3 linked regions of the Bombyx mori genome follow. The protein of the gene in region 1 interacts with the protein of each later gene in a pairwise test. Links are inferred from orthologs where the notes say so. Each region holds a gene or a part of one and is shown on either strand. Other genes may lie near its edges. The genes, in order: homeobox protein extradenticle, C-terminal-binding protein and antennapedia homologue protein.

What was found.
Region 2: the proteins of homeobox protein extradenticle (region 1) and C-terminal-binding protein interact in a two-hybrid assay, tested with the Drosophila melanogaster proteins (2 studies listed by BioGRID, with this or other methods). The link is inferred for Bombyx mori from reciprocal best matches to the Drosophila melanogaster genes exd and CtBP.
Region 3: the proteins of homeobox protein extradenticle (region 1) and antennapedia homologue protein interact in a protein complementation assay, tested with the Drosophila melanogaster proteins (2 studies listed by BioGRID). The link is inferred for Bombyx mori from reciprocal best matches to the Drosophila melanogaster genes exd and Antp.

What each region holds. Positions count from the first base shown.
Region 1 is NC_085121.1:1,647,320-1,655,091, reverse strand, and holds the end of homeobox protein extradenticle, read left to right. Parts: intron 1-1,206; coding exon 1,207-1,307; intron 1,308-1,418; coding exon 1,419-1,569; intron 1,570-2,206; coding exon 2,207-2,303; intron 2,304-2,961; coding exon of another isoform or gene 2,962-3,035; exon of another isoform or gene 3,036-3,093; coding exon of another isoform or gene 3,094-3,170; coding exon 3,171-3,285; intron 3,286-4,170; coding exon 4,171-4,183; downstream 4,184-7,772. Other genes in the region: sulfiredoxin, read left to right, coding at 7,049-7,094, 7,566-7,696. UniProt on the Drosophila melanogaster protein: Transcription factor which acts with the selector homeodomain proteins altering the regulation of downstream target genes such as wingless (wg), teashirt (tsh) and decapentaplegic (dpp), thus affecting segmental identity.
Region 2 is NC_085132.1:9,958,219-9,967,305, reverse strand, and holds the start of C-terminal-binding protein, read right to left. Parts: upstream 4,947-9,087; 5' UTR 4,413-4,946; intron 4,259-4,412; exon of another isoform or gene 4,019-4,258; intron 1-4,018. Other genes in the region: E3 ubiquitin-protein transferase MAEA, read left to right, coding at 6,441-6,479. UniProt on the Drosophila melanogaster protein: Corepressor targeting diverse transcription regulators. Hairy-interacting protein required for embryonic segmentation and hairy-mediated transcriptional repression.
Region 3 is NC_085112.1:5,678,456-5,686,962, forward strand, and holds part of antennapedia homologue protein, read right to left. Parts: intron 5,106-8,507; 5' UTR 4,908-5,105; coding exon 4,247-4,907; intron 1-4,246. UniProt on the Drosophila melanogaster protein: Sequence-specific transcription factor which is part of a developmental regulatory system that regulates segmental identity in the mesothorax. Provides cells with specific positional identities on the anterior-posterior axis.

The sequences.
Region 1 (7,772 bases):
TTAGATTTTTCATATTATTTAGGTTAGTTGTATATAGATATAGTATAAATTCTTAATTCTTGTAGGAACATAGCGTAATAGTAGATAAACGTAGCGTACTTATTTGAATTTATTGTTATTCGTTTGTTAGATAATACACTTTTTAGTTTTAGTTAGATAATACACGTTTTAGTTAGATAATACTTTGAAGGCGTCCCTTCAAGCCCGGGGGAATGGTTGCGCTGGTTTAAAACTGTTAGTTTTAAGTTTCGAAAAATAGCAACATTTTAATTTGGTTTTGCAAATCCTGTCCCATCCCTCTCCGGCACTTTTACCTACGGATGCGTGCGAGCGAGATCGTGTGGTGACATCAAAGACGAAAAAATATGGCTGAACAACCGCGCGCGCGCTTCGTGTCTTTGTTATGTTAAATACGTAAATAAGTGAAATCGTTGGTGTTTCTCATCGCGGAGTGGTACGAGTCTGCAGCAAGGACTACATAAAGGTATTGTGCATCCTTCCTTTAACGCAGAACTGCCACTTCTTATCGTTTCTTCCCGCAGTCTGTGTCCTTCATTTGCAACGACCAAATTTCAAATATTTCGTAGTTTGCTTATCTCGCGTCTACACCGATATTTTTACCAATCCTTAGTTGATGTACTGATATCCAATATGGGCAAATTATTTCAATTTTTATAGTATCAGTACAAAGTACAAAATAAACATAAAAAGAGGTTACACATTTACATTTTTGATTAAGAGAATCCATACTATTTTATTCTTCTTTTTCTTCTTCTTCTGAGTCGGTCTCTTCATTACTGAAGGTCGTGTCTAATCTAAAATGTGGACCACTCGATGTACAATGCTTCCCCACGTCTTCCTGTCCTCGGCGGTCTTTATAGCCTCGGTTATTGGCAGGCTGGTAAGCGTCTTAACCAGATCAGACCAGCAGATAGGTGAGCGTCCGCGTGATCTTTTCCCGTCAACCTGACCAACTACCATTAGCTTCTCCAAGTTATCGGGGCCTCTACGAGCAATGTGGCCGAAGTACGCGAGAATACGTTGGAAGCAGATAGCGGACAGGTCCATTGGTCCGGCGTGCTGTCCATGGAATTCGCAACATCCGTCTCCAACGCCACATTTCAAAAGCGTCGATCTTTGCTCTCTCACGAATCCTGGACTATTATATTAATGCTTATTAATTAAATAAACGTGTTTTTGTGGCAGGAAATTGAACGCATGGTGCAAATAATTCACAAGAAGTTTAGCTCCATCCAGATGCAGCTCAAGCAGTCCACTTGCGAGGCAGTGATGATTCTGCGCTCACGGTAAATGAATGACAAACATTACAACGTCTACATTAAGAAAATTATTTTACAACCAGCTCAACTTTGGCCTCAATTAAAACAATGAAAAACGAATACGATTCCCGCTTGCAGTTTCCTGGACGCGCGCAGAAAGCGCCGTAACTTCAGCAAGCAAGCGTCGGAGATCCTCAATGAATACTTCTACTCGCATCTGTCGAACCCGTACCCCAGCGAGGAGGCGAAAGAGGAGCTGGCGCGCAAGTGCGGCATTACCGTATCGCAGGTAACGGACCCTTGGCTCGCTTTACAGCTTCCTAGACGCGAGACGCAAGCGACGTAACTTCACCAAGCACGCGATAGAGTTGCTCAATGAGTACTTCTACTCGCACCTGGACAACCCCTACCCCGGCGAGGAAGTCAAGGAGGAGCTCGCCAGGAAGTGCGCCATTACTGTGTCGCAGGTAGCGCACAAACGCGAGGACACATATTGCTTTGACTAATTTTAATGAATTAGGAATATGTATTTCAAGTTTAAGTGAGTTGAAAAAGACAATATTATAAACTATTTAGTTAAACTAGCTGACCGGGCAGACTTCGTAGTGCCTCAATCTATAAATAATAGACCCAAACTTTTGTATAAAATAAACTTAAAACAAACCAAAGGAATCCATCTGACGGGGGACATATAAAAGGAAAAACAAAATTGTTATTTTTATTTAATTCCGAGCATTTTCATATTTATCTACCTTTTAAACCTTCTCTGGACTTCACAAATAATTCAAGGCCAAAATTAGCCAAAACGGTCCTGCGGTTCTCGAGTTTTAGCGAGACTAACGAACAGCCATTCATTTTTATATATACAAACAGCAGATAATGAGTGTCTTCAAGAATGTGGGAGTAAGTGTTGGTTTCTATTGCAGGTCTCTAATTGGTTTGGCAACAAGCGCATTCGCTACAAGAAGAACATTGGCAAGGCGCAAGAGGAGGCCAACCTTTATGCTGCCAAGAAAGCAGCCGGTGAGTGGGACTAACGTAAACATGTTTAGTTTTCAATTTATTTATTGAATTAAGAGCTTAATCTTAATTACAAATTCAGGTGATAATGAGATTGATTAGTAAAGGAGTAAGTCGATGAAATTAGTAGTATACAAAATGATCAGCACTGCATTGAAGTCAATTCAAGTGTAACAGTAGTTTTTGCCGCACATAAATAACCTATGACGTCACGACTAAACAAATACATGATTTTATCATTGAGATGACTAAATCACAATGCGCTAGTTCACATTAGGTCGGACCGGCATCGTTACGGTAGAGAACAATGTATGGTAGAAAGGGTAGAGTGGCAAAAAAAAGAAGAGAAAAGCTATCAGTTGTATCAAACCTGTGGACACAATGTTGACAAAATATGGCCAGTGACAAATTTAAATTTGAAATTATTGTTTCGATTGTCTTTGTAAGCTGTAATAAAACTTATCGGAAGTGGTTACCGCCCCTTACGGCCATCGCCGTTGCTAAGAGCATAAAAGCTCTTCTTATAATTGAGGACTGCCTGTTTGAAGAGAGACACACGTCCGTACTGTGGATAGCACCGGGGTGAATATTGAGGTGGGGCTTGACTCGAACTGTTGGAATGTAGTAAAGTATTTCTGGAAACGCATTGTGATACCCGCAGCGGTTCCAGGTAGTAGGGATGAATTCCGTTCCGGTGGAGGGTGGGGACCTAATGTGAAGCAGCTGTATGAGTAGTCGTGTGCGTGTGCGTGTGCGTGCGGAGAGTGGTGAGTGTGTGCGCGTGTGCGTGCAGCAGCGGGCGCGTCGCCGTACTCGCTGGGCGGAGCCTCGGGCGCGGCCACTCCGCTGATGTCGCCGGCGCCGCCCCAGGACTCGCTGGGCTACTCGCTGCCGGCGCCGCCCTACGACCAGCAGCCGCCCTACGACGCCTCCATGCCCTACGACCCCATGCACCAGGATCTATCGCCCTAATCGCCACACATATGTAACTATCTTTTATATCAACATTTTACCAATGCCCAGTCAGGACTTTTTTCTTGACCTAATTTTTTTCACAACACATAAAATATCAAAATCAAAGCATAACAACATCTATGTGGTAACAATGTGGCGACCTTCGATATTACTTCAATCAAGTTGTATTGCTCTATTGAATTAAAAATTAAGGCTTAAGCAACGCTAGCCATATTTTTATTTCATCTTAAAAGCTGAAAGTATCGATCCAACTGATGGTGGCATAAACGCAGATGGCACGACATAGCTCATACCGTAATACCCTCAGTACTTCATAACTTTATCTGCAGTTCTTCAAATTCTAATTAGGGATGTTATCTGACACATCTTTTTTTGAAAACTGAAATGCTTTTCTATTCTCTCTCTCTCTTTTTGAAACATCAGAAGGACAAGTTCCAACTAGAAAACCTTCCGGGTGATCAGCAATACAGCCATACTCCCCAAAAAAATAAAAACCAGTTAAAGACAATTTACAGTTAATTTAAATAATTTTCAAATGTGACCTTTCCACATAATACTTTTGGAGGATTCTCTGTCACAATCTATACTGCAAATCTATATATATAAAAATGAATTGCCGTTCGTTAGTCTCGCTAAAACTCGAGAACGGCTGGACCGATTTGGCGAATTTTGGTCTTGCATTATTTGTGGAAGTCCAGAGAAGGTTTAAAAGGTAGATAAATATGAAAATGCTCGGAATTACATAAAAATAACAATTTTGTTTTTCCTTTGATGTGTCCCCCGTCGGACGGATTCCTTTTGTTTGTTTTAAGTTTATGTTATACAGAGGTTTAGGTTTAGGCACTACGAAGTCTGCCGGGTCAGCTAGTAAATTTATAATTTGCATCCATTTCAGGTTGACGACATGACGCATAATCGTGCAGCTTCCACTGAATTGCCATTTACATTACATAATATTATGTATATCGTTAGGTAAAGGAGTACTGCGAGTGCTCGCCTCTACGCGCCCTCTCGGAACACAACGACCTCTGCAACCTGCAATATTCCAAATCAATGGAATGTAAATTATTTAAAACTGTTCACTGCTTGTTTTCTCATGTATTTGAATATTTAAAGTTCCATTACTGAAGTATTGTTACGATGAGAAATGTGTTCTGAGAGTGTAGCCCTTGCCTTAGGACATAGAACATTGTATACTATGCATTATTAGCACGTTACATAATATTTTTATCGTATTTTTGGAGGTAAATGTAATTGAAATGTATTTAATTTTTATTAATCTATATGACTGGCCCCCAGTATTTATTTTATACAATATTTTTCTAAAACGACTTGAAAAGGCAACTTTATTAGTATTATTTTGTTTTTATTATTATTTTAATACCAGTTATAATTTTTTGAAGTAATTATTTGGACAGTATTAGTATTAATTATGTCGAGAATCAGAAGGCCGGGATCTCTGTACGTTCACTATTCAACTCTACGGTGGTTATATTTATACGATAGCTGTAAGTCTTAGTTTATAGTGTAACATTATAGATTTAAGGGATCAGATATTTTGTGCTGTAATATTTCCACTAATGCGTCCCTACCGTGTATACTAAAATGGCTTAGATATTGTTATTTTCCGACTTGGTACTTAACTAAACATATGTTATCGATTTTAATTTAGTTCTCATTTTAAATTTAACAGCGAAATTTCGGTCCGCCCTCAATCATGTACGTGTTAGATCTGCCCATTATTATTGCCATTATGAAAAATTAAGACTTGAATTATGTTTTTGATTCATCTACAGATTAATGTTTGGAACGAAATTTGACTGTGTTGCCATTCATTTATATGTAGAAAAAAAAAAAATGTCTGAGAAAAGTACGCACGCCCATGTTTATATACCGTTGATAGTGCGGACATTCGTGTGCAATTTTATATTTTAATGAATGGTTGTGTTACTGTGTCGAGCATGTTAATGGAATTGATTATTTTATACTATTACTTGATTTTTTAATCGATATTTTGAATGTAATCATGTGATTATTATTTTTATTATTTGACATGATTTTTGTTGTGAATATATAAAACTTCAGTGATTTTTTTTTGTAAATTTAACAACATGGTGCTGTCGGTGCGGCATCACTTTATCTCGTTCAGTTGTAAGTTTTATTATGTTTCGTCGTTGACTATCGCAGAAGGATCAAGACTATTTAGTTCCACGTAGACGACTATTACGGAAACGTTGCGAGCGTCACATTATACGTGTTCTAAAAACAAAATATCTGAAACAGTATACGAGAAATTAAACGGAGAAATTAAAAAAATATTTGTTTAAAACTGTGGAACGTTAATATTATAAAGAGACGCGTCGTCGCCATTAATAATTATGGTTTAGAACTTACTATATTTATATGTGACGACGCGGACACCATGTATACGACGACGAGTTCAATGTTATTGCGACCATCAGATTGACTAAATACATTTTTTGTGTAGTTATAATTGACGTTTTTTTTTTATTTGAAATTCCCAACTTTTGTTTTCACTTCTCTTAATTGTATACAAGGAATAATCATCTGGAATTATGGCTTGGTTCCCTTAGCCCAAAATTTTCTCATTTAGGTAAGTTAATTACACGTGATAGAAATATGGTAAAATCCCGTACCTGCCTGCGGGATTTGAACATTGGCATAGTCGCATCGCTTGATACGAGTAGGGATACCGAGCACCCTAACTTTAAGGCTACGATGGCCACAATATGCAGTTTAATGACGAATTTAACCTAATGACTCGAGACTGGGAATTGAAGCAGAGAGTGGTGATATTGTAGTCAGTAAATTAGATCCACTGAGAAGATCCTAGAAACTCAGTGAGTTGTGTCCGAGTGTAATATATAGACTGTAGTGTCGTTACTTATATGACACTACCACTATACATCACTAGACCAATATGGCGGCTGTTCTTTCGATGTAGGTGCACAAAACAAAGTCACGTGCTTACCTTGTCATTATGCTAAACAGTATGTTTCCTAAGGAAATTCATAGAATAATCTTATATTATAAATACGAAAGTTTCTGTCGACTGGTGAATTTTATCCTTTTATACAAAACGATGATTCTGATGAACCTACAATGTAAGAATGGTATAAATATTGGAGTAGCACATAGCTCTAATATAGTTTGACGACCGTTAGATGACGCGCGATGAGTTTGGAGAAATTTAATACTAATGCCGGAACTAGGTACTCTCTTTTTGATATTTACATCGGTACACAAACAAGTTCATTACTGACCTAGTGTTAAGTGGCCCATAAACGCCACAACGTAAATCCCGCGGATTGCCTTGTGATCCAAGGTGTTTTTTTGTTTATTTTGAATCATCGCATATGAGCTTACAATTGTCCCGATAGTAAGTGGTTACGACGTTACTGGACTATGACCAGTGTGCTTAGTGCGAGTGTTTTAACTTCTCGAAAGTAACTTCGCGTAAAAGTTAACTTAAATTTGTAGGTATGGAGTTGGAACAGCGTCCCTAGATTGACGTAATTAGACCGTAGTAGTAGGACCGAGTCTCGACCAAGACCAACTTTTCACCACAAAAAGACTTGTTTGCAAAATAATACAATAGTGTTGTGTTTGTATATTTAATTTTATCAGGCGCAATGTGACCTTGGCCATGTTCGTTCATTATGTCAGTTTTCGACGCCCGTCCGCTTACTCCTCGCTCGGTTAGTGCAGTGAATACATTCAGGCAGTCAGGTTGACTCCGGTGGACTAGGGTTATGTTAAAGAATATTGCCAGCTTAACCTCTGCGACAGCGGCTAGATGTGAGTACAACTTTTAAAAAAGATGATAATTTTTATTTAGTACACATAACTAATTATGTATTATTTGTCATCACTCGAACTACATATATCAAGTACAAGGTTTGTCAATGTTATGATCATAAATGAAAAGAATCGTAAGGTTTAGATTGAATTCATTGCAATTAATTAACTTTGAAGTTTCATTTTACAATAACAAATAAGAGTAATTGAAAACAAATATTTCCGGATACATAAACCAAAAAAAGACTTTTGTAAATACTGTTTATATATTAAATTGGTTTAAGACCATACTATAAAACAGAAATGTAACTTATTTACCGTTTGCATAGGCAAGTCGTTTCATTCACGGAATTTTGTATTCTTAGATAAAATTTCGATAAACAATTATCATCATAGTCGATTACACGATGCCTATTAGATACCGAATGAAATGCATTTATTTATTTTTATGTTTTGCTTCGTTAATGTCAGCCTCGAAGATGACAAGTGTACACAGCGCCTACAAGGAAGAAGTCCATGATGTTCCAATGTCGGTTATCACCAGGCCCTTCATTCCGGAGCTGGACGAGGCCAAAGTGGAATCTCTCATGGAAACAATACAGGTTAGTTATACTTTATCAAGGTATAAATGGAACGTTTTCAACGTCCCAGAGTATGATTTGTGTGGGCATGTGTGAA
Region 2 (9,087 bases), on another chromosome or scaffold:
CAAAGCTTTTTTGATGGCGCCTGTTATTGGTATTGTATTAAATAAATCCTATCCACTCTTTCCAGTTTGGCTTTTTCCTAATTACGCGCTAGTAATTCAAAATAGATAATTGATATTTTATGTGACGTCTTCATTTACTTATTTGAAATTTAACTTTCAACTAAAAATATTTAATCGACTTTTCTTAACATATTTTTGAAGTGAAAACTTCTTCGATCAATAATACTACTAGATTCGCGATTAGCGCTTCAAAAGCGGCCCGAAAAATAAGACCACAAATTTATTTGTGGTCTTATTTCAAATTAGTATGGTCCAATCATAGCCAACACTAAGACGTCAAAACGCTGCACTGCGCGTTCAAAAACGGAGTAAAAAACCACCGTAACACCAAGGTTTTGGAAGGAATATATTTTTTTGGTAAATTTATATTATTAAGTGTTTTTCATAAAATAATAAACACAATTATATTGTAAATAAAACACAATTTACGAATATTGTAATTGTTTGGCCAATGTTTGCAACAAGGCACCAACTAATGTAACAAACATCACCTATTCTTGGACAGGGAATGCATAGAGTAGTTTTGTTATTTTATAATGTTATTTTTGTTTGTAGATTTCCTAGTAGCCCCTTGTCGCTGTGCACAATGGATATATATTGTCGCGAAAGAAAGAGGAGAAGAAATATAGAACTCTTATAAAAATTCTAGAATTGTTCAATGGTGGTGGCAAATCAATGCAAAAAAGTATTAAAAAAACTTTATAATATGTATGTGTAAATATTTTAAGCGTATATGCTGAAAAGGATTTGTTTTCTGGGGGAAACGAACACAGCCATAAAATAAGCCTAAATTAAACTGATTATAGAAAAATTCATTGATATAAGATTACATTATATTTGTAAAAAAGAAACCGCTCATATAAAAATGACTTCTAAAAGACAGCTTTATAACAAACTGAATCTGTTTAAAGTTAATTAAACCTACATTATTGTTTTAATAACTTCTGTATAAAGAATACGTGGAAAACATGTTTCGTGTTTCCTTTCATATTTTTTTTACTTTATTCAATTTTATTTTTTATCACCTATTTGTTGTAATAGCGGCAATGTAAAATATTATCTACTACTTTTTTGAATCGGTCAAAAATAGTTGCGACCATACAAAACAAACCTAAAACAAATATGTATATTCTGCAACTCTATGTCTTTCAATACTTACTGTGTTCTGAGCATTGAAATGTAATACCAAGAACTACATCTAGTTCCACAATACAATAAGCACGAAATTTTAAACAAATATTTTTAACCTTATAAATTAGGCTTTAAGTATCATTTTAGAATAAATATTTTTGTACTGATGACTTTTTATGTTCAAGTGACATTTTAAATTTATTCCATAATATTCTTTTTCTGACGAAAGGACCTAAATACATATATTTTGCAATGGTAATTAAACTTTATGTTTAAGTCTTAAGGTTTATAATAAACTGAAGTCGTTAACATTATTAAACTTTTTTCTAAGAAATGAAGATGTTTTCGTGTCTGCAAACGTGGCCACTGGAGCGTCTTATTTTTGTTCCTGATCCGTAATCTAGTACTATTATTGATCGAAGGAAAACTTCTTTAGAATTGTTGTGATTTCAAACCGGATGCAACGGAAAAAACGACAGGTAAGAGACACAAATACAAAAATGTGTAGGATGAAGCCAGCAAAGAATGAGACAGAAATATACATACTATTTAATACAGCGCCATCTGTGAGATTTAATACTAACGTGTGTATGAAAGCTCTTGTAGTGAATTTTAATTTAGGATTATACGTGAAATTAAAATATCAATTCACAGAGTGCGTTACCTTACAATTATTTACTAATGACAAAAATTTTCATATACTTAAGACGTTTAGGATAATTGTATTTTAATTTTGGAAGGTTTCACTTCTACCACGTGTGAATTGCACACATTTTGTTTTTTTTTTACTAAGAAATTTTCTACTGATGACTTCAAGGCCAACTTCACGGTATAATCATACATACGTGAAGATAAGACGCAAGTGCCGACACTCGCATACATGTAACTATTGTTAGGTGCCATTATACGTTTATCATCCAATTGACGGACGGGTAGAAATAGCCACTTAAACTTTGCTATGTAAAAAATTGGGTTGGCAAATTATGCTCGGTTGCTAAAAGAAAAATGACAATTTTATGGAACAAATTTGAAGTAAAATAATTCCTATGATTATGAAACTCAATCATGAACCATAGAAATATATATTTTAACTACATACTACACTTAAATTCTTAGTGCTTAAAGTTGATGGAAGTTTTTTTCTTTTTTTTTTATTGCCCTTGTAGGCATACGAGCATACGCCTCACCTGACGGTGAGTGATTACCATCGCCCATGGACTTCAGCAATGCCAGGGGCAGAGCCAAGCCGCTGCCTACCATTGAGTATTCTCCACAAGCCTCGTTTGAAGAAGGACAAGTCATAGCGCTCAGAAAACACTGTGGAGGGAAGCTTATTCCAAAGTGAGACTAAAAGGGGTCTTGCAGCCCCAAGTTATTACTAACTTCTGCGGGAACTGTCTGCAAACTCTCTAATCGCTCACCTCATTTCGTTCTAATACCTATACTAAGCACAGAGGACCACCATGGTCATTACTCTGTCATATCTATTAGCCACAATAATTAGAGTTCTACTGAGATTTACATTTTATGTTTCAAGATGAAAAACTGCACAATTGTAGTTTTTAGGTTCCGATAACCACTTGACTAGGAGGAACATGATGCCAGTCCATGTATGAACAATTTCTTTTTATTTAAATCAATATTTTGTATGACTTATACGAGTAAGCACATGTAATTAAATTTAATTCTGTCATAGAATACTATTCGTGCTCTGCCCAGCTAATAAACAGAAAAATCTCACCACTAACATAAACTTCACCACTACACCGTCATTTCTCATAAATAGATGATAAGCTAATACATTAAAGGTTCACTCATTGTCCAGAGGATTTTAAACAATCTGACTTTTTAATGAAAATATGTTGCTCTATATTGTTAATTTAATAATTACATATAATTAGTATAACTAATATGTACATAAGTGACAGTTTTGCCCTAGTATATACACACACACCAATCATGATATTGTCATTGGCCAATATTTGCCCTTTTACAATCTATATTGACACACAATCCACTAAAGTATGGAGGATACAATATATTAGAGACAGTAAAATTAGGTCGGCTCCTGTTTATCTTTAAAGGACCCTGCTTATTTAATGAGTATCAAGACTACAATACAATAATTAACTTAATTTGATTTAAATGAATGAAATGAAAATGAATAATTCAGTTAGATAAACCAACACAAAACAAATTACCACATTACTGTTCGACTTGAAGAAGTTTAATTTTCTCTTGATTATTTTTGCGATTAAGAAGACCTAGAAGTCTGGGTAAATATATCCAGAAATATAAATCAATTAAATTATTCATTCCTTAAACTGTATTTACTTAATCATATGAAACATTTAAAAAAAGATTTCTGTTTTAAGTTTTATTTCTAAAGGCTATGAAAAGTTCACATAATATTAAAACACAATGTATATTTAGGGATAGTTAAGATCCAAATCCAAACTTTCATCGATTTGCAATAGCAAAGTTAAATGAGTGACTAATCATTCCGAAGAACATTTTAGTGTTTTAGAAAATAAAAGTTGTAGAAGTAGTATCTTTCATCAGTATCAATATCTTGAGTGCTGTTATTCTAAATAATTTTCAAATTTTTTGTAAGAGAAATTCATATTTTCTTTTTAGTTAAAATAACTTTATATTGCTTTCCGCCAGTTTAGTTGTGTACTTGATTTAATATTAGTGATTTAAATATTTTAGTTGTGTTACCTCAAAAGTATTTTTATAATAGCAAAATTTGCAAATAGACACTCGGTTCATGTTTAAAAGTTTTGTTATTTTGTAGCATCGTAAACAATATTTCGGCCAATCTCACCTCGTGACATTTAATTGTACAAATTCCAGAGTTATCAGCTCACACACATCACAACCTCACAATTGTCACAAGTTTATTGAAACCGAACTAAATGCTTGATTCTCATTTTAACGACTATTAGTGTTAAGTAATATGAGTCTAAATTCTAGGTAGAGTTTTCTAGAATAGCCGAATCACGATCAACACGTTCTCGTGCGAGCAAGAGATGACGCGTCGGCGTCGCCGCGGGAATGTCGTCGGTCCTCATCGCCACGGCGAGGCAATCACCGCGCACCGATACTATCCGCTTCGACGCTACTTTCAACTTAGCAATTTCGTCAAAGTCAACATAAATAACACTTCGAGTTTATACCTCGCATCACCAAAATTTAAGTCGTTTAGAAAATTAACTTACCGTAAATAAGCGAAATCCAACAACAAAGACCAGCCACGCGCTCCTATTACAGGACACTCACAAATCACGAATGCACAAGGTATATGAGTAAACTAAAATCACAAAATCGTCAATTTTATGAACAGCCGGCTTGCTGAGTCAGTTAGAAGAAAGTTCTTCAGTTTATCGTAGGTAAATTCACTAAACGAAGAAACTAAGCCGCGAAGCACCGCCAGCTACATACAAAATGGCGGATTTGCGTAACGAAAGTGACGCGCTGACGCGCCGATGCTGACAAATAATGGTAGAGTCAGTTAATATTTGTCTATGACAAGTAATTTGACGGCTTTGTTGTAGTCGATTTTGCTTAAAACCGATTTCGTCGCCTTCAGTAAAATTTAACTTTTAAATCTACACAAACACAAAAATATATTTGATTTTTTTACAGAAATAACTATTACAAATTACCCTATCGTTAAAATTCAATATAGATATAAAACTATAAACATATTTGATATTTTTAACAATCAATCAATTCAATTTTGGACACAAACAACGTCGTTTGAATTCGTCGCTTGGCTTAAACCATAACCAATCACCATCAGGTGGGCCATATGCTCGTCTACCTACAACGGCAACAAAAAAAATAAAAAAAGTTAGGATTGGACGAATGATTCATTAAGTTTCCACTAACTTGCGGGGGAAGTTCAAAACGTACAAGTCAAATACCTTTAGCTGTGCGTTGGAATCTGGCCTTCCGGCTTCTATCTTCCTTCTTACTTCTTGTATCCTCACCGCTGAGGGTCATGACTTTTGTGGAGTAGTTTCTGATGGGTTACTTTTTAGCACACTGCAATAAGTCTCCGGTGGAAGAGTGGATAAACATCGGACTAGTTTTATTTCAAATAATTGTAAGTAGTAATAACACGTAGTAACAAATAGTAATATTAACATATTGGGTACACAATCCAACATTTTGTTATTATCTTAACGTTAAAATAGAAGAATAATTAACACGGACGGAATATATTATGCAGTTACCTTATACAAATAGTTTTTTTCAGCATTAGTATGTTAATTTCTGAATCTTGTTCCATATTATTAAAATATCTGTGACAAGCATGTATAAATCATAGATAGCCAAAATTATGATGGGATATACTCGGGTCCTTCCTAAAAGTCAGAGTACTGAAATCCAGCTTATTATTTCATTTCATCTCATGTCATTACATTTTATTTGATTTCATTCAATTTCCTTTTGGTATTGCCGATAGTTCAACTTTTTCATTCCGCTCCTTTTCATTTTTCGAATTAAAAATGTAGGTATGTGAATCATAAAAATTGAAGAACTAAACTCGATACTGGCAGCAATGACATCTTAAAAAAACCGTCTGCCATACTGAAAAAAATAAGAATGTATTGTCTTTGGTTTGCGTTCTGAAATAAAGAAGACTTGAGAAATTTTCTTCATTAAAAGCTGTTTCTGGGGAAGAAATTACAATTATTGGGCAAATTATACATATATTAAGATAAAGAGATACTGGAGGAGATTGCGAAAACAGTTGTTTTAATCTTTAAATGGAAGAGTTTTAGAGGAAAGAAAACAACTGTTGAACTCAGCAGGCAACTATTTTTGAACTTGAAAATCAATCCTTCATCTCTGTGAAATCGCTTGCAAATGACAGAGACAAAATACAAATTTAGCTTGCTCAACTCGCTGGCTGATGAACCACAGGAACATTTGTTTGTCAAAAGAAAAAGATACCCACAACGCAAGGAGTTGATTAAAGGCTCGAATTCAATGAATTAGAGTTAGTATTATTTATTCGGATTTTACGCTTAATGAACTATCATGAAATCAGATTTCAAGTGAAATTATTTGTTTTTGAAAAGTTTCCATTACATTGCGGAATTAATTATATTGCAAGTATTCATTACGTCGTGGTTTTGCGTCCATTTACAAATATTAAGTCAGCTGAGTTTTGTTTTTATTTATATAGGTCATAATTTTGCAATCATCAGCCCGCTCAGACGAATATCGTTTTCAAAATGAATGAGATCAAATCTATGGAGCATGCGACATTGAAGGTAAGTTTAAAATTGTCTATAAAAATGACATCAGCCCTTTTTCTACATGATGGATCGAAACAGATCGATTTAAAAGCCTCGAATATTCGAGTATAAAAAATATGGCAAAAAACTATTCTTAAATTACGAAACTCCAATATTTTTTTATATATTACAAATTAAGTTTATCACAAAAAGGACTTGATATTGCAATATCAAGCATAATTAAGCATTGTATTGATGGTAGGGCATATTGTAAGCTCGCAAGTATAGGTAGCACATATAATTTCTAAAAACAATAAACCATCAAAACTAAAAACTAAACCAACTAAAAGCTAAAAACTAACCAACTAAAAGCTAAAAACTAACCAACTAAAAGCTAAAAACTAATTAAAACTAACTGTAAAAATAAACCAACTGCACAGTTTAAAACGCCATTAATTTATTTTTGGTATATAGGAAGTATAAGCAAATAAGGAAATGAGTATAGCATATATTTAGAATAATTTAGATGATATAAAATGACCGAGAACATGATGTAGAAAATTAATATTGTGAACAAATGTTGTAACAATGGCATAAGCATCTCAGATGAAGTCATTGACTGCTTGGTGAGGTCTGATAATAATGCTTAAATAGATATTTATTTTTGCAATAAAAACAGGTTAGCTTACTTGCAAACTTTTCTAAACAGGTGTTTGGATCATTTCTTCCATCAAAGAATTTTTTTTTATTTTATAGTTTCTACATTTTACAATGTATATAATAATATAATACAATACAATATAATAATAACAGTAATATTTAGTAATTAATTCACATGCTAAATATATTACCATTTTAAATTAGACAAATTGACAAATTTTAGCAGCTATGTAGTGATTACCAGAAAAAATTTAATTATAATAAACAAAGTGAAACTAATGTAGGCAACATAATTATGTCATAGATACTACTAGGACTAGTAGTCATTATCATCATCATCTAGGACTAGTGGTGCTACTAGTAGTAGATGGTGAGTTTTTGGTTGTAGAGGTGAAGTCCCGCAATTAGACCAGTGATGGTAAACATGCCTACTGAATTTTGGCAATGAATGGATGCTTCTTTAGTAACTTGTAATAGTCTTCTCAGCGTTCTTACATCCATTGATATGGGGGCGTTTTTCCTCACCCAAGCAAACGGCTTTCTTGCTTAAATGTAAATACAATAAATCAAATTTGGAATTGATTTTGAACATTTGAATTATAACATTTGCTTAAAAATCTGTTCAAGGACTCTCTGTCATGGAAATGTGAACAGAAGTGTAAACTACAATTTATTATTTTAATCACAGTTTGCAGCTTAAGAATTATGTAACAAAACTATGTATGTATGTATGTACATCAACAATATATATTATAGTATGTATTGTAACTATAATATTGAACTCTTACTATTTACTTAATAATTAAAATCATATCATATCATATCTTTTGAAAGGGCTTGTATTTTTTGTCATAGACTATAAAATGAATCTCATAATAATGAAAGATAATTAGTTATTACTTAAATAGGTACTTAAATATGATAGGTAAGCAATAGGTAAATATAATATTATTAGAATTATTGTTTTTTGAAAACATTACTGATGAATCAGAATTGTAAAATATTCTGTTGCTTTTTAAAACTATATTTGAGTTAGAGAGCTTCTATAAAAGTCCATTGTAACATCTGCCACATAGTCATGATCAAATCTAAATATTTCGCTTGTATTATCACAGAGCTGTAAAAATGTGATTTGAATTTCACCATCGTTTACAGCAACCTTATCAATAACACTCATATTTTTACTCAACAATTTCATTGAACAAAGGATGATTGCAAGTTATTTTATAGATGTTGTCAGTGTCAAAGAATTATTGAATAGGTAGGTAATAGGCAGTAGGCAGAGGCCTGGCTCTGCCCCTGGCATTGCTGAGGTCTATTAGCGACGGTAACCACTCACCATCAGGTGGGCCGTATGCTCGTCTGCCTACAAGGGCAACAAAAAAATAATAATGTACTGCCTATTTACATTTTGAAAAGAAAAGTTTCTATGGGCATTCCAGAAGCTTGTGTGCATGGATCTGCACTGTCATACATATTTCTGCCACAGTTCAACTGTTCTTAAATGTAGAGTAATTCCTGGTATTGTCATGTTTATGAGCTCATAGGCATGTTATATAATAAATGAGGCTCTATCATCATCTTTTCACTGAATTTGAAGGAAAGTTTTATAAGCAACATGTTTATCTTACAACATTGCCTAGGTAGCCCTAAATTTCACATTGCTTTACAGATTTTTTCGTTTTCATTCTTCGGGATGGACGAGAATTCAAGTGAAGAGTATAAGCTCTTAAATAGGAAATAGTTATGTGGTCCCTACTCATGTGGGCAGACATCTTACCACCAGTAAATTCTATAATATTATTGCTATAATGTATGCCATGTTAGTAAATGTATGCATAATATAGTATGTGGTAAAGTAATAATGAACAAAAAATAAACTAAACATATATTATGTTCTCAGATATATAGAATTAACACAATTAAATCACTGTTCAGTTATACTTGATGATTTTTTAGTTACTTAAGTTTTTGTTCTAATAGA
Region 3 (8,507 bases), on another chromosome or scaffold:
AGTATAGTCACAACGGCTGCCCCACCCTTCAAACCGAAACGCATTACTGCTTCACGGCAGAAATAGGCGGGGCGGTGGTACCTACCCGTGCGGATTCACAAGAGGTCCTACCACCAGTAATTACGCAAATTATAGCTTTGCGGGTTTGATTTTTATTGCACGATGTTATTCCTTCACCGTGGAAGTCAACCGTGAACATTTGTTTAGTACGTATTTCATTAGAAAAATTGGTACCCGCCTGCGGGATTCGAACACCGGTGCATCGCTCGATACGAATGCACCGGACGTCTTATCCTTTAGGCCACGATTTCCGTTACAAACATACATACATACGTCTGAAGCTAGTAAAAGCGTATTAAAAAAGTTGAAATTGATAGGCCTATCATGCTTCGGTATTAATATAAATATATCATGAAAATTTAATGACACAGAAAACTATTACAAAAACATTAATCAGATGTGAAGTAAAAAACTGTTACAGAAATAACTTAAAGAAATCTAATATTACGGTACTTCTAAAATAAAAATACAATCTACGATCAAGAGGCGACACACTACGAAATTCAGAGGAAAAATAGGTAAAAAAAAAAAACAGATTATAATAAATGATTTACATGACTACTATCATCAATATAGGTAGTTTGTTTTACATGTTCTTTGACTACAGAGGAAAATAATAGGGGATTTTTATTAACAAAACATGTAACATTAGTGCTACATCTAAAGCCTCGTGAAAATTTCGTTATCAAATGACATTAAAATGAATACACGGTACAATGATTTCCGACAGTTTTTTTTATGATAGCAATATTTCCTCAGGAATGCTGTAGAGAAAATTATCAAAAACCTAAATACATTTTAATCATTAACTACTTCAGAAGTTAGTTCACAAATGATTAATGATTCGTACGCTGAGAACGCCAGAGTGTTCTATTTTAAAACGAGATCCGTTCCTATTGGTTGATTTTTTATTTCAAAATGGCAGCCGATTTTTGAAGATAATTAATGAAGGCAGTCTCAAGTGGATAAGGTGAAACTCAATGAGAATATACGAGTAAGTGCGACTATTTGCTACCGTATCTTTGAAGTATCAAATTTTTCAAAGATTAAATACATTTTGTTTGGTTTCTGAATAATTGTTGATAATTTAGTGGAATGAGTTATTGTAAGTATGAAATTAATTGTAAGTGCTATTAGCGTCGAAGAGGTAATAAATTACTTAGATAACACGCAACATATAATTAAACAAATTAGCGAGATCATTACGAAAAAAGCTACTGTATAATTTAAATTGTCGTGTTTATAAGTGAATCAAATGACTCATATTTATCATCGCAAACATATAATTTATCGGTTAATTTTTTTATTATTAACAAAAAATTGTATTGTACTATCATTGTGACATCACAATAATGCGGGCTTATACTGATAATTATTGAGAAAAATTTTATATTCAATTTTGACTAAAATTTGTGGGTATTTCGATAATATCTAAAGTAAGTGTAGTTTGTCTCGGCGTCGTTAGTATCGAAGTAGAGTTTGAAATTAATTAACAAGTTAGCCGAAGTTGACTGGTCTCTCTCATGGCGGACCGAAAATTGACAAATCTTATCTAGCTCCTTTGGATAAGGGTTACGACACGGGTTCGGCTCGTTCAGGCTTCTAGTTAAGTGGTTTTAGTATAAACCATACTGGGGTTGCTATAAAAAAGTTTATTTTAATACAAAAGGAATTAGAACCCAATTCTAGGTAAGACAAAATTAAGAAATTTTTATTGAATTCTTTTAAACTACCTTTAAACTATGACACAAGCTAAATTCAGTAGTTGTTTTCAAGGTTTAAACCGATTTGCCTAGTGTAACCAATGTCAATCAGCGTCTGTTCGTAGATAATAATAATAATACAATTGTTGGGTAAATTGTGCAATTTATATTGTGGTCGCAACGTAGCTACTTATACTTGTGTAAGATCGCTGTCTAAGCAATGACTGTATCCGTTTAAAAACGGTTAGTAGATGAAAGAGATCCGGTATCAGAATTAATGTCAATTTCGTTCTATTGATGCACAAACGTACCTACTTGTACGAAGCAAAGGACTTACAATGGTTAAGGATAAAAGCGATGGACATGTGGCTATATGTAGTTTATGCGGGTTAAATTATTTGAAGTTTTATCTTTTATTCAATAATACTTTTCTAAACTTTTAATATGAATGATTCGTTAATATTTAATGTATTTGGTATTATTCATTATATCATTCTATTGACGTACTCATTTATTATATAATGTTTATCATCAAGTTTTAATTATTTTGTCAATTAATTATCTCATTGTTTTTTTTTGTAACAAAGATGTATGAATGACATGAATCTCTAAAATTTTAAAATCGAACGCACCTTTTTTCACTTTAGAAATAAACTCATAGTCTCTTATACACAGTCACATAGTCACCACGATATCAGTAACAAAAAAAACATTAAGTCACATCACTTAATTTCATGCTAGTTAATAGAAATACGTTCTGTTTAAGTAACCAGCAAAACTATCTCATTCGACAATTCATTCCCGAACTAAATCTCGAAATACGAACTTACTAGGCTTACATTCTCAAATTACAATGGAATCTCTAAATCAGCCAACTCAACCGTAAATTAGATCGCAGACAAATTCAAAAACAGTAGGAGACGGTAGCACAACTTGAAGGCTCATTGTTCGTATTCGGCGTCAGCTAAACAGAAGGTGAGCTTTTGTCCTGGGTGTTGTAAATTTTGTGAAAAGTGAAATTCCTTTTGAATGCCTCTTCGGCCCATAAATAATCCCCGAACAGTAGGAACGGTATTGTTTCTGACTCTTATTGTTTCACGTCAATGCAAAACGAGAGTGGTCCTCGTAGATTCGCAAATCAGTATGGAATACTTGCGATTTTCAGTGCGGCTACCATAAATCAATAAATAAATGCGCCATTCATAGTTTCGTGTCTGTGTAGTGAGTGGCTTATTGTAAGACAACAGATGAGTCGTCTATTATCAAAGGTGGCAATCTGTGCATTTGGACAAAAAAATTTATTGATATTTCAATACAGATTGATTTGAATATAATCGTCTCCTTCAAAGAATACGGTTCAAAACCTGCATTAAATAAAGGTTAATACTTAACCTGTTATTTATCTAAGATGTCGTTCAGAAGAGTTTTGTGACAGCCAATGGAATACAAAGTCAATAATTCGTTTTTCTGATTTACCAATAATTATCCAAAAGTCACATTGCCGGCTTTGATAATAGTCGACTCAGATAACGAAAGCCAGGCAAGTGCGTGACGAAAACAGCAAAACCAGAGTTAGCGTTCGCTTGACCCGTGAACTGAACTCAAATAAATAATACATTTTATCGGCAATATCTTAATAATGTGTAATAAATAATATTGTAAATATTTTATAAGCTACGAGCTTGGAGTCGGTACCTTTGTAAAAATACATGTATTCTGGATCTTAGCGTATTTGTTATTGTCACTAATGGGTTTCCGATACCAGGATAGGAAAATAACATAGGAGAAATATTATCAATTTCTAATTATCTTCCAATTATTTATTATTAATAAATTATTATTCCATTAGGCTATTTAATGCGAAACCCTTTAAGTTCTAATCACTCATTCGTTTCCTCTCAGAATTTCCAAATCATAGTTCACAAATGGCGAAAGTAACATATTCACGACTTTCGAAAAACATTAAAACCTTAGTTGAATAAAATAAAATAAATCCATAGTATTTTTGAAGAACTATCGATGTATAGTTATTGCTTTTATTATTTTTAGGTTAGATAGTTCGACTCGTAATAAAGTTTACTTCATTTCGATACTCGATCGTACGTTCAGATATTTGTGTTGTGAGTAAACGAAAGAACAGAGCCTATCCTCCAAATGCTATTAAATTTTGTCATTAGTTTCTGTGTAAAATGCCAGTACATCATTATATACGGACAACAACTGTATGATTAGATTTTTGTTTTGTAATTAGAGCAAACCTTTATTAATATGTGACATTAAGAATTAATTAGTTATCCATGTTTTTTTTCTTCATTTTATTATTTTAATTCCTTCAGAAACTTTAACCCGGATAATTGGTACAATAATCAGGGCTCATACCGTGAGACCACTGAAGTGATCATGTCTGAAAGGTAGCAAGTGAATTGATGTTATAATGATAAATGCTGTATAACATTAATTACAAATATAGGTTAGGTGCTTACCAAATTGACTTCGCATCCATGGGTATAGCGGACTGGGCAGCGATGCGTTCGTATTAGGCGGGGGCTGCTGCGGAGGAGGTTGCTGTGCATGCATCGATTGTTGATGCATAGGGGGCATCTGCGTCTGATGTTGCATGTCGTCCACAGGGTACATGAGATGCTGTTGGTGTGGAGGTACTCCGTGCTGGACCATATGCTGTTGGGGGTGCATATGATGGGGCATTTGTTGTGCTTGTTCTAAGGGTGGGCTGCCGGGGACTGCTCCTCCTGTCGCGGCTGCAGCTTGAAGCTTACACGACGTGTAAACTGCGGGAGTTGCCGGTTGGTGTCCGTTAGGTCCATATCCGTCCGTTTTAGGACCCATATGCCCCATTTGAGAAGGGCTGTCCGGCCGGTATCCGTTTTGTTCCATTTGTTGATAATACCCTAGCCTGTCGTAGGGTGGAAACCTGGGGTAGGGCATTCCAGGCGCAGGTTGCGCCGGGTAGTGATGCTGTGCCGGCCTGAGCTGCTGATCGCAGCCATCCATTTCGTGCCCTTGTTGTGGCACCGCGCCGTAATGCGCGTGCGCCTGTTGATGTTCGTGACCGCCTCCGTTCCTCATGTCCGGCATGTAAGCGTTAGAAAAATATGTCATACTGTCGCAATTGTTGGCGCTCATCGCGGGCCCGCAGCCCGCGCGGCTCACGTCCGTATTTTCCGTCGCAGATTTTCGGCCCCAAGGGCCGACACTACGTTATCACAATTCAGTCACAACACAAACACTTCCGAATCCATTCACTAAATGACGTTTGCTGAACTCACTGTTGATTTACGCGTTGTTGACGGACGGTGTCTCCTCATCTGATTCTCGGCCAATCTGAAAAGAAAAGGTTGATGCACTTAGTCAATCTAAAATTAAATATTTGGAAGATATCGAGAGGCGGTTCTCGTTTGATTGTATGTTTGTTTTGGCCGGCTCGTGGATTGATACGCCAGTCATCACGCGCTGAGTCGACCTGACGGTCCACGCAGACTGACACGTGTCTTAAAACTGGGACACACACGAAGATATAAACCTTATGTTGCTAGTAAAACGCCTTATAGACGACCTGTCTGCTAAACGGCCCCCATTCGTAGGAGCTAACCAAGCGCCGCATTCTTAAACACGATAAGACATTTAAAATCTGTCTTTGTCTGTCTCAAGGAAGCAGTTCCTCAAAAATGAGACAGGAGACGAAATAGTGTCAAGTCGCGACATCAACATGTGGTTGACCTGACGTCATATCCTCGACATGTCCCAGCAGTTGATGGAGCATGAATGACAGTCGTATCGCGGTCTGAAGACTTAACTTTACACTGTCGTTGATTCTCGAAAAAATAACAGAAACACAAACGTTATCGTATGATCTTGTTTTTTAGTTTTTTAAGTTAAAAAAAATCATGATGCATTTAATCTGGCACTTACTAGAATTAAACAAGTACACCAAGTATTAGTCCAGCCAAAAAAAACCTGCGTAACGGTAAAAATACGAGAAGACTTTTGTACATTAAGACAACATCTAAGTGCTACCGTAATGGCTGCGCATTTCGGTCGTCACATATTATCTTATACGTTTCCATTTACGAAGTTACAAAGTCACGTTGCAACATTTTTGATACGCTTTACTAAATTTCACGTATCCAGAGAGAGAGAAAAAAGAATGTACTGTACAGGATCCGAATGTATCTCCGCCCCGAGAACTGGCTCAGGCTATTTAAAATCCAAAAGTTCATGCTTCATTAGCGACAGTTAATGATGGCGGCTACTCTATAGACAATGTGTTCTTAGCTGTAGTTACATTGGTTTATATAATAACTTACGCCTGGGAACAATTGGGAAAAAACGAATAAGACGCATTCTATTCACTTTGTTTATGTTCTGTATATTTTTTTAATTAAATGTTACAACTTTCGTATGGCTCACTTTGAAACGGATTGGAAATTTCAATTTCATTAGGGCAACGGTATTGAATTTGGTAGACTTTACGTGCTTCAGTAACAAGTAGTAGTGGTGTGGACTTATAATCACACTCTATCAGTACTGAATGTAAAACTAAAGGGTTTTCTTTTAGGTAAAACCGGTGAGAGTACTGCGACATTGCAAAAAGATATTTTCTATGGTCACTGTAGAGAGACGAGCATATGAACCTCTAAAACTGAATGGTTACCGTCACTCATGACATTAGGCGTAAGCTAGGTGCTGTCTTGTTATTAGCTTCTTGGATCGTTTTTATAAATGGTGATACTTTTTTGTATTTCACCGCCAAAAATTCTTTGGCTAATATTCTTTGGATACATAAAATCGTTATTTATTGTAAGCATAGAAGAGGAAGTGTCAAACTAGCCCCGGTAATTAGCAATTTAAAGTGCGGATGGTTAGCGTGGTATGGACATGTGATGCGTAGAGAGAAGATGCATGAATATGGAAATGGTAGTGCAAGGTAGAGGGAAAGAAGTCGACCGAAGAAGACATAAATGGAGTGTGTGAATGAGAGAGAGGAGTGGATGTTGAGCTGACGGCTGATAGTAGAGAATGGAAGAGAAAAATTTGCTGTGCCGACCCCACCTAGTGGGAAAAAGTGATGAAAAAAATAATGGAAACGGAGAGTCGCGACAATGTACGTACAATAGAAAAGCATAGCTATTCGAAAAATTTGCATCTCGGTTGAACAATTACAATTTACGATTTCACCGCCCCAGCGGCATTGCGACCCTCGCTTTTTTTAATTTTCAATTTCCATTTGCATTCCAGTAGATGCCTACATCGAGTCCAATCACAATAGTTCCGACTCCACAATTTATTACTGTCTAGCGAACGTTTTTAATCAGGGTGAATTAGAGAGAAACATATAAAAAAATTCGTTGAAGTGAAATTATGTTACTGAATATCGGTGTCATCTGAAGGCGAAGTTAAATCCCAAGAAACATGACATTTTCATGTTAACTTTACGTACACATAATTGTACATTATCTCGTAGTTATGAATTTAATCTCACACGTAACAAGCGAATGTTCTAGCCGGCAATTACCAGGTCGAGATAAGAATCTTAAGCTCGGTTCAAGGAACATGTCTTTAAGCTGACCGACGTCGAAATTAAGTCTCACGTGCTTTTGATAATTTGATAACCGAGTACGCTGCCGCTTTGATTTACGTTTTCAAGAACGGGTTTTCTGAGTCACTCGCAGGTCGCTCTCATGGCCTCCGCTTCTAAGTATAGGCTTGTAATTAAATGCTTTTTAAAGCTCACCAGGATTTTTCAAAATGATTGAATTCGAAAGGATTTTAAGCCAGAAATGTTTCAGTGTGCGTTTTTATTAAAGTATAAAGAACTAGCAAATCTTTTCCGTGAATTAAAATCTTGTTGAAGTAACGAACAAACAATGCAATTATATAGTAACATCCAAACGAGATTCCCATTGAATTTTAGCTGATACATAAATTAAACCAAACACTTCCTAGACCGCTAAAAATGTACCGATGACTCGTTCGAAATTTATAATCCCACTTTTATTTCGTAATGACATAAATCAAACTAAAATACACGGCATAATAGCCTCTGGAGTTGAAATTAAAAATAATATTAATAACATTTCGCGTACGACAGTCGTTGGTACTTAATCAAATGACGATCAAAGGATGAGTATTTTTGGAAAATATCCGACGCCTAGTATTTATCATTTCGACTATTTGTCAATTAGAGAGCTATTGTGGGAACAAGAACGATTTATTTATGCTACACTGTTTTATAATGTTAGATAAGGAGAGTGACAATGTAATTTTAATGATGAAAAACGTATTTTACGCCTTTTTTTTTATTCACAGCGTTATTAGTATGTATCTATATGATAAAGCTACCAATAAACTATCAATTACACCGAAATATTTTTCTGATAACTTTGTTTTAAATTAATTGAATTTTTATTTTATTTAGTTTTATATTTCTGGTAAAAGACAAATTTATACGTTATTCAAAAATTATTTAGGTATTTATACAGAATTTGATATTTTATGTTAATGATGATAATCTTATTGGAAACGATATCCATGATGAAGGAATATCATATGTGTAATAAAGATAAAGCGTATCATGAGCTCGCATGGATAGATCTTCCCTATTTCTGCCGCAAAATAGTTTTGCGTTCTGGACAATAAAATATATATTATTCAAGATAATTCAGTGCTCCATATTCACCGATATCCAGATATGACATGATGTGGCATCCATTATGACGCGGACTG